Xenopus tropicalis: one gene and its partner. The protein of the gene in region 2 purifies or fractionates together with the protein of the main gene of each other region. This does not show direct contact. Links are inferred from orthologs where the notes say so. Each region holds a gene or a part of one and is shown on either strand. Other genes may lie near its edges.

Region 1 (5,293 bases), on a different chromosome or scaffold from region 2:
ACCTAGCTCATACAAGGCACCAATGTAAGGTTAATTTGTTTCGCTCCTAAGGGCATGTTCCAAGGCCACTCTCCTAGGAAGGAAAAAAGACTCCAAGGCTACTCTATTACTAAGTGAAGAACACTTTAATAAGCGATTAGAGGACAATGTAAATCTCCGAAGTACAAATGAAAGTGAAACTACGGAATTACATCAGCCACATAAGTGTTTGGTCATGTAACCAGGATTTTTCTATCTTGCACTAAGCTCTGAAACCAAAAACAATTTTTAAATGAAAAATTTACAGGTATAGGATCTGTTATCCAGAATGCTAAGGGCCTGTGGTTTTCTAGTTAATGAATCTTTCTGTTGTTTGGATCACCATACTTTACGTCTTAAGAAAAATCATTTAAACATTAAATAAACCCAATAGGATTGTTTTGCCTCCAATAAGGATTAATTATATCTTAGCTAGGATCAAGTACAGGTATGGGATCCATTATCCAGAATGCTCAGGACCTGGGATTTTCCAGATAAGGGGTCTTTCAGTAATTTAGATCTCCTACTTTATGTTTGCTAAAAAAAATTATTTAAACAGTAATTAAACCAACTAGGATTGTTTTGGCTCCAATAAGGATTCATTATATCTTAGTTGGGATCAAGTACAAGGTACTGTTTTATAATCACAGAATGTAAATTTTTTTATTAAAATGGAGTCTATGGGAGATGGCCTTTCTGTAATTCGGAACTTTCTGGATAATGGGTTTCCGAATAAGGGATCCGATACCTGCACAGGTACTTTTTTATTATTACAGTTAAAAAGGAAATCATTTTAAAAAAACTGAACTATTTGATTAACATGGGGTCTATGGGAGATGGCCTTCCTGTAATTCTGAGCTTTCTGGATAATGGGTTTCCAGATAATGGATCCCATACCTGCATTTAAACAAAAAAAAGCAATAATATATGTAAATAATTATTAACAGTTTCTTATTTAGAGAACAAATCATTACAAAGTCTAATATCTACAAAGCTAAACTATAAACAAAGAGGTCAGATAAAACATATCAAATTAGTGGATACTTGTCATAAATTGAGAAACAATAAAAGATGCAGAAAGGTATGGGAAAATGGGGCAGAGTGAATCACTGAACAGGTATCATAGGGGAACAGAGAACTCACACCACAGAGAATGTATCAGACAGTGAAAGCCAAATGATGAAAATGTGAAGTGTATAACCACTGGAAGGTATGGATGCAGCTAGAAAAAGCAGGAATCTGAAGTGGTGTTGTTTACTGGTGCTTACAACCTACTTCAAGTAAAATGGAAGACTGACACCAACAATCATTATTAAGTAAAGTTCTAACCTGGCAACTGTTTTGTCCATCATTTAACATGATCAGGGAGGTAAAACATTCAGGTAGAATATTTTCATTCAAAACATGATGCTTATTTAGGAATGCAACATGATCAAGCAGTCTTTCCTGCAGTAATCTTGACACTGACCTGTTCGACAAAAATAGAACACATCTAGTTAATACAGCTAAAAAATGTATGTTTTTGGATTAGGCAGCTATGAAGGCGGAGAGGGTGGTAAAAAAGGACAAAAGCTTGCTCAACAATATAACAGAACTGTGGAGTCTAAAGCATTTTTGGCAAAAATGTACCCACTTTGACCCCTAATAAATTCAAATTGTAATACAATATGTTACAATATCCTTTTCACAGATAAAAGTCATAATTAAGTACTTCTCTTCTGTAAGGATACAGCCCAGTGTGTAGTTGTTTTACTAGTCTGAAGTTTAGCTGAAGTCCAACTGTTATAACCTTAACCTTTGTCTTTAGTTTTAAGGAATGTTTGTAGTTTCATTAATAAATAAAATAAAAAGCCACAATGACATAGGCTTAGTTATAGATTTAGACTCAAACTTGAACAGTATCCTCATTCATGTTGACAATGACAGACTTAAATGGCCAATAGGGTAGTGCATCAGCTTCTTAGCCAGTAGCTCTTTGGTTTGTTCACAAAACAGACACCGTTAGTGCTTAAAACGTCTGATCTTTTTCAATAAATACTTTATCTTTTTGCAAAGTCCCTGTGTGTGCGGCTCTCACTGTGTGTACTGGAGTTCAGTTGGAGGGGTTGAACTTAATGGACTTTGATGGAGTTAAGTCTACTCTATGTAGATAAAGCATACCCCCCAACTGTCCTGCTTTGGGCGGGACAGTCCCGCTTTTTATAGTGCATCCCGCTGTCCCGGATCGTTCCATGAATGTCCCGCATTTCTGTAACATTCATGGAACGATCCGCGATAGCAGGATGCACCTGCTGAAGCTGAGCGCTCCTACTCCATGCGCGGCTTCTCTCCTTATGTGGCGGCTTCTCCGGCGGTGCCAGGCCCTTTTATAAGGTTGCGCCCCGTGCGTACTGACGTCACGCGGCGCAACCTTATAAAAGGGTCTGGCACCGCCGCACATGGAGCCGCATAAGGAGAGGAAGCGAAGAAGCAGTAGGAGCATGTATTGGGGGGGAGCTCTGTGTATTGGGGGGGGGGCTCTGTGTATTGGGGGAGCTCTGTGTATGAAGGGTACTGTGTATGGGGGGGCTCTGTGTATTGGGGGAGCTCTGTGTATGAAGGGTACTGTGTATGGGGGGCTCTGTGTATTGGGGGGAGCTCTGTGTATGAAGGGTACTGTGTATGGGGGGGCTCTGTGTATTGGGGGCACTGTGTATTGGGGGCACTGTGTATTGGGGGGCACTGTGTATTGGGGGCACTGTGTATTGGTCCTGTGTATGAAGGGCACTGTGTATTGGGGGGCGCTGTATGAAGGGTACTGTGTATTGGGGGGGCGCTGTGTATTGGGGGGCACTGTATGAAGGGTACTGTGTATTGGGGGGCACAGTGTATTGGGGGCACTGTGTATTGGTACTGTGTATGAAGGGCACTGTATGGGGGGCTCTGTGTATGGGTGGTACTGTGTATTGGGGGGCACTGTGTATTGGGGGCACTGTGTATTGGGGCACTGTGTATTGGGGGGCACTCTGTATTGGTACTGTGTATGAAGGGCACTGTGTATTGGGGGGCGCTGTATGAAGGGTACTGTGTATTGGGGGGCACTGTATGAAGGGTACTGTGTATTGGGGGGCACTGTGTATTGGGGGGCGCTGTATGAAGGGTACTGTGTATTGGGGGGCACTTTGTATGAAGGGCACTGTGTATGAAGGGTACTGTGTATTGGGGGGCACTTTGTATGAAGGGCACTGAGTATGAAGGGTACTGTGAATGGGGGGGCACTGTGTAAGAAGGGCACTGTGTATTGCGGTACTGTGTATGGGGGGTACTGTCTATTGGGCCATTGGGGGCACTGTGTATGGGGGGCAAATCTGGTACATAGTTATAACTCACTTTTTATATGTAGGAGTTGCTATATTGTTTTCCTTAGATAATACAGTATGAGGGTATAGCACATTTGCATCTGATCTCATTATTTAAACTATATACTTGGGAGTATTTTTAGAAAAAAATGGGGTGTGTTAATTGGGGCGTGGCCACAAAGGTGGGCGTGGTCAAAAAATTTCTTTTTGTCCCTCTTTTCATTTTTCAAATGTTGGGAGGTATGGATAAAGTTCTAGGGCTGTTTCTGTAAGTTGAAGCGGTGAAAACTGGGATCGGAACATGTGCTGCCACTGCAGGTAGCAAAACAAAATTCTAGGGGGGAGCTGGTATTCTAGCCTTAAATCCTGAAACGTCTTACAGTCCCCATTCAAAGTTAAATCTGCTAATGTTTTCACCCCACCAGCTGTCAAGTACTGATTTCTGATACCAGACTAAAGTGGGGAAGAAACTTGTTTTCCCACAGGGGAGTACTTTTAGACCATTCCAGGTGGTTTTCATGTGCCATTTTTCGAGCTTTCTGGAAATTTTCTACTACTGTCTCTATATGGGTTGTAGTGTTTTAAATGCAAAGTTGTTTCCCAATAGGGTAGTTTGGCCAAGGCCTCAAGTGAGCCTTTTACCACAGCCACAATTACCGCTGCCTGGCTGACCAGTTTAGGCATTATTTACCAGTGGGCAAGTAGCCACTATATTGATATATAATCTTCATGCAATTCCATATATGAAGGTTCGGCAGCATCATCAATATGGAAACGTGAAAGATGCGCAGTGATCCAACAAAAACATGTTAATAAATGAATTATCACTAATGCACAGAGCTATAGAATCAGGTGCAATGAGTTTTAACCAAAATTAACTTTTGCCAAATTAAGGTTGTGGGCCTGACCATAGCTCTCTACTTGCAATGCAGCAGCAGCAATAAAATGGGTAAAGATACCTCTCTTTACTTGCTTCTGTACTGTGAGTGTCAGTAGTTCCTTCATGTAAGTATCCAGCCAATGTGCTCTTCAGCAGTTCCTGGACCTTGCACAGTACAAGTGCACAGCAGGCCTCAAGATCTTTAACCGTCAACTCTCTCATCTGGTTGCAAACACTGTAATACATATTAAAGGTATTCATCACCAAGAAGCTTATACGTGTCTAGGCAAAGGGTCTTTAAGGGGCAATATACTCCCTTTTCAACATGGTTTCATAAATAGGGCTTGTGATGAACATATATTTTGCCTGTTGTTTTAATTATGTTTTTTTAATGTTTTTTTGTTATTTCTTAAACTAAATAGGGCAAATGTGGAAACAGAAGCTACTTCATGTTCAATGTGGATAATTAAATTATCATAGTTTATATTATTCCCCTGCATAATGGACTTGTAAACTGGTATCTCCCACCCAAGGACCAAACACAGAGTAGGTACAGATTCAGTTTGCTCTGTTTAACTTAAGAAATAACAAAAATCATATTTTGTTTGTAATTAGAACAATAGGAAAGTGTATATTCATCGCAAGCCCTATTCAAGCCCTATTCATTGCCCCTTATAAAGGGGGTTTACTGCTGATAAATTGAACCACCTAATAATTTAAGCAAGTGCAAAATATTAGTGAAACAAAGGGATGCTCAAGGTACTTCTCATGGGAGCTTGTGATTAATTATTATTTTTAACACATATGTATAATGAATTCTAACTCAGCAAGGCAAACAGCGTGGCAGGTTCCAAAATATTTTCTTATAAACTTGAAAAAAATTATGTACAAAAGTAACTGGTGACGCATAATTAAAACCTTCACTGTACCCCTCAGACCCCTTATCCAGAAACCAGTTATCCAGAAAGGCCATCTCCCATAGACTCCATTTTATTCAAATAATTCACATTTTTAAAAATGGTTTGCTTAATCTCTGTAATAAAACAGTATCTTGTAC
Region 2 (5,293 bases):
GGGATATTAAAGGAACAGTTCAGTGTAAAAATGAAACTGGGTAAAACAGAAAGACTGTGCAAAATAAAAAGATATTTCTAATATAGGTAGTTAGGCAAAAATGTAATCTATAAAGAGGCTGGAGTGAGCAGATAACATAATGGCCAGACCTCTACTTCCTGCTTTCAGCTCTCTAACCTTTTAGCTAGTCCATGACCACAGGGGACAAAATTATTCAGTTAGTTTGTCAGCACGCAAGTCAGATTCAAAAGCAAATTAACTGAACAGTTATGTCCCATATGGCCCCCCTCAAGTCACTGAATGGTTACTGACTGCTAACAGCTTAGAGAGCTGTCAAAGAGGAAGTATTGTTCTGGCTATTATGTTAGACATATTATGTTGGCTATTATGTCAGCCTTTATGGATTACATTTTTGGCCAACTAACTATATTAAAAACATTTATTTTTTTTGTGCAGTCTATCTATTTTCATTTTTACATTGAACTATTTCTTTAAAAAATTATTTGTATTTGTATTATAGGTATATTTGCAAGTATCCAGTATGTGATATACAGATATGTATCTAAATAATGTACACGTCTTATAGCTAGGTGCCACATCTACAGTCCATCATGATAAAGAGAACAGGAATTGGTTTGCATGTGGCATTCAGCCATTTTCCCCTAAAACTGTATTAATCAGCATATCCAAAACCAGGAACCATTGTTAGTTGTACACTTGAGCACAAATGGAACAGTGAAACAATTAGGTTTAAAATAAAAAAAATTAAATATAATCTAAAGCAAGCTTTTAGAAATATTGTGCAAGCTGGAACTAAGCATAAATAGCAATGGTGGTTATGAATAATGATAGTTTAAAAAAAAAAAAGTTTTATTATACAAATTAAAAAGAACTGATTATCATAAAAGCACTAAGTCTATAAATACAGGCCTCTTCTTATAGCAGAAGCCTGAGGTATCCTAGTGGGGTAGAGTTTTACTTCCCTGTGTTATGTAGTTAATACTTAATTAATCCCTAGGGGGAGTTCACTCAAGTGCATGTTTCTCTCCTCCCTAGAGATACAGCTCAGTAGTGTTCTAGCTAACTCAGGTAATCAATGCAACCATTTTTATAGTGCACTTATATCATTATAAGTGTTGTAACACTGTGGGGATGTATTCATTCTTGTTTTTCTATTGTTCCAGTAATTTCCCTGATTACTAAAGATATTTGTAAGGCTTGTTTTCTGAAAATGAAATGTATGATTATGAACATTTAGGGGGGCATTTACTAAGTTGTTTTTCTTTATTTGGATTTTTAGAGCTAACAGTTGCACCAAGAATATTGCAACTTTTTTGAGATTTACTATGCAACAAAATGGCTAAAAATCGCAATCCGTCATCCGTAATCCGTAAAAATTAGTCGGCTAACTTGCCAATTTTGTGCAGAAATCAATGGCAGATGTCCCCTCCCTTCCCTGGAGAATCCTTCTTTGCTACAAAACTTTAGAGGCTTTGGATTTTAGACGCTGTAGAGGTTTTGGAGTGACAATTTCAAACATTTTGCAGCTTTGTGCTTTTTTTTAGGCGACTTTTCCCACACAGACTATTTCATTTCTGACTGTTAAGTAAATGTCAGACATTAGTGGAAATGAGTTTATTTGAATTTCTAAAAGAAAATGAGAAAAGTTAAGAGTTTTAGCAAATATGCCTCTAAGTGCTATCATATAGGTATTTGTGCGTGGCCTGTATGCTGTTTTGTTCTTATAACAGAGCTCAGTTTCTTTAGATTGTCAAAATTGAATATGAAGCCAAATTTGTCTTTATACTTTGCTCCGCTCAAAAATGTGCAAACTGCTCCATCCTATTATACTCTACCTATGTCCTAGAAATAGAAAAAAATGTGCAATTCATGCCTTAGGCAAAGAAACAATAAAATTGCACTTAATAGGTAAGGCATACCTGCAAGCAGATTTAAAACAACATTAACGGAAGCAAAAATCCCTTCAGGAATATTTGATTTTTCTTCTTGAGGGACACTGATGTACAAAACTGAAGGGGAAATAGACTGAATTGTTTTTGGACTGACTGATATGACACATTAAAATATCTGACAAAAACAATAGGTAAAACCATAGGTTCAATGTAAGACTTAATTGCTTTTGTTGATCCTAGGTTACAGTGGTCTTTAAAAAGGAAATATTGTGTGTGTAATCTTTAAAATAACTGATCATTCATATCAGTTATTTGAAAGAAGTCACCAATAAGTGGACCATTGCCTGATTTTAACTCCCAAGTGCTGCACCAAATTTTGCTGACTTGATCATTTGGCCCCTGAGCTGTTGATCAAATGACATGGGGGGCACTGCATGTTCAGAAGAGCACTGTATCCATTGACTGATCTTTGCCTGATCTGTTACCGAACATCTGTCTGAGCCCCATGACCCATTTAAACAAATCCTTAGCATTTCTTTGAAACTATGTTAAAAAATACATTACTTGCCTTTACCTTTTTATTGAAAACCTTTTCAGATTGCAGGCTGCACAGATTTGAAACATTCCTGCCCAGAATGTTAAGCCCATGCTAGCACAGGATGTGACATTAAGTTCCTTAGATAGAGTTATTGGGTAGACAAATTATACATTTTTCTAAGACTCTGGCCAGAAACATTTTGGTAAACTACGATTCTCTGCTTAGTCAAGCCCCATTTGTTGCAAGGATTGTTGGTTAATGCTTATGACAATAGCCAGCACAAAATAGCATGCACTCGTCGGACTCCAAGACAGCGGATAAAAATTCAAAAAAGCTTTATTAAGGATAAAAACCTAACATGTTTCCTGTGACTGCACACGTATTCATTGGTACCTATGAATAGGTGTGCAGTCACACGAAAAACATTAGGTTTTTATCCTTAATAAAGCTTTTTTGAATTTTTATCCGCTGTCCTGGAGTCCGACGAGTGCATGCTGTTTTGTGCTGGCTATTGAAGTTGAATCTCCCCATGCTGCAGGTCTGGAGCATGGCACCCAGGCCACCAAAAGGAAGCAGTGAGTGAACATCCTGCATTTTGAATTTACAGAATAGCATAAATTCCCCAGAACGAAGAGAGAAAAAAGTGATAAGCGAAAGGTTCGGGGCATAAGCACCCGAACCTACTATTTAACTGGGTGAGCCAGAGCGCTAATTGAAATATAAATCAGTTTTTTTTATCTGTAGTGGGAAGGACTGTGAGCCCCCGAACAAACAAATAGTACAATGCTAATGACATTTTACAAACCTCTAACCAACGTCATGTGCCTTTTTACATTGTATATCTATACACCTAAATGTGATATTTTTGCTTACAGATTACTTAATTTTTCTACAGTTTATAATTTTCTATGTGAAACAGGGATCACATGTCCGTTTATTATTTGTCCAAATCTTTTGTGGAGGGTTCATTATTCAGCTAATCCAATAATTATGGTTTCAGTGCTGCCTTATTTATATAAATTGGTAAAAATACATTGAAATATGAAATACAAAAAGGATTAGGATAACCTTGAAATGTCTTACCTCTTTCCGCGTTCTTGCCGCAGCTTCTTGAATTATTTTATTCATGCCTTCTTTCATATTTTCAATCTCCTCTTCCTTTTGCTTTTCTCTTAGCAGAGCCTTCAAATATCAAATAGAAACTTCATACACATATGCACTGTGTAATATTCTAAAGAAAGAATATCATGTGTGTATGTGTATATATTACATATATAATATATATAATAATATATAATTTTCTATACCTGGTCCTTTTGTAGGTTAGCTTCTTCTAATATTTGCATACTGTCACGGACTCTGGAAACAGCATCATATTTCTCTTCTTCAACTTCTGCACATTTTGCTTGTAATTCCCCAATGTGCTTTTCGAGTGCAATTCGTTCATCTTTAAATTTTTCTACATCTTGGACAGCTACTTTTAGCCTTAAATAAAATGCATATATGCTTTATTGTATTATACAGCAAAAGCAATACAAATCATGCATTTATTCTTACTACAATAAAACAGATCTCTAAGATAATAAGTTATATTGCTAGCGGTTATCTTGATCTTCCTGATCTACTGTATACTAGGCTTACAGAAGCAAGTTGCACTTCCTACAGAAAAAAGATTGCCTTGTCATTGTAGTTATCTGTCGTTTCACTTGTATTTGAGTACTGTTGCCTGATACTTGCCAGTTTATTTGCTTGGAGTCTATAATTCAGAGGATTCTTTGACTAAAACTATGGAAATAGTATTTTTGCAACCTAAAGAAAATAATGTGCATATAGCAAGGGCTACTCTCTCTTTATGATTCCATGCCATAAACACCAAACCAAAGTCTTTGTAAGCATACAATGCCCCAGTACAATTTGCACTTCTGCTTTCCCAAGTATACTAAAGAAATATGGCACTGTTACATTGCAGTATGTCAATATAGTTTTGAGATTTGTTCATACATTGTATCTATGAGCAGTATGGGTGAAAGAAAGTTGATTATAATTCATTTCTTACCTGGTTTCTAACTGTGTGAAAGCAGACTGAATATGCTGAACTCGTTTTTCTGAAGCTTCCTCCTTTGCCTTAGCAGCCACCTCATCTTCTTCCTAATGGAAATAGGGAAAACCCCTGAACATTTTCAGCACACTGACATTCTGCCGCCAATGTAATATATCAGATGAAGCACTTCTAATATCCATTACCTGTATATCAGATTCAATATAATGCAATTCCTTATAATGCCATAACTTTAAACTACAGGTAAACTATGGTAAACTGTTAACTAGATAACCTTTTTTAAAATCAAATAGGAATACATATGCCGAAAAAAGGTTTTATACTGTTAATGTTGGCGCATGCATTTTTTTGATATTTTACTGATTAGGTTGTAACCACTCTGAAATGTATAAGGCTGTCAGAAGTCACTTCAGAGTTCTGTGACCTGCATAGATTGAATGTCAGATGTGATTTCATCTTACCTTTCTTTGCAGCTGCTCCTGCAGATTTTCTATTAGTTTAGTAGTTTCTTCTAGCTTCACAGTTGCTATTCGTGACTCTTGTTTTGCCTGCCTGTTGAAATAAATGTGAATAAACACACAAAATCTGCCCAACCCAGACAGGGACATAATTATAGATGATGCAAATCCTGCCACTGCTGATTGGACTGGTAGATATTAGTGGGCCTAGTGGGGTTCTGGAAGTTTCAATATACATTAATGAAAAATGTCTTGCTTCCAAAGTTTAGGGGTCCCTTAACGTAGTTTTACTATGAGGCCCAGTAACCTCTAGTTACACCAGAAC

The links. The genes of interacting proteins can lie anywhere in the genome.
Region 1: the proteins of sclt1 (region 2) and kiz purify together in Homo sapiens (co-immunoprecipitation; 3 studies listed by BioGRID and IntAct, counting the BioPlex papers as one, with this or other methods). This does not show direct contact. The link is inferred for Xenopus tropicalis from reciprocal best matches to the Homo sapiens genes SCLT1 and KIZ.

What each region holds. Positions count from the first base shown.
Region 1 is NC_030681.2:36,356,659-36,361,951, forward strand, and holds part of kiz (centrosomal protein kizuna), read right to left. Parts: intron 4,472-5,293; coding exon 4,316-4,471; intron 1,487-4,315; coding exon 1,348-1,486; intron 1-1,347. UniProt on the Homo sapiens protein: Centrosomal protein required for establishing a robust mitotic centrosome architecture that can endure the forces that converge on the centrosomes during spindle formation. Required for stabilizing the expanded pericentriolar material around the centriole.
Region 2 is NC_030677.2:64,009,995-64,015,287, reverse strand, and holds part of sclt1 (sodium channel and clathrin linker 1), read right to left. Parts: intron 5,063-5,293; coding exon 4,972-5,062; intron 4,600-4,971; coding exon 4,508-4,599; intron 3,937-4,507; coding exon 3,759-3,936; intron 3,634-3,758; coding exon 3,535-3,633; intron 1-3,534. UniProt on the Homo sapiens protein: Adapter protein that links SCN10A to clathrin. Regulates SCN10A channel activity, possibly by promoting channel internalization.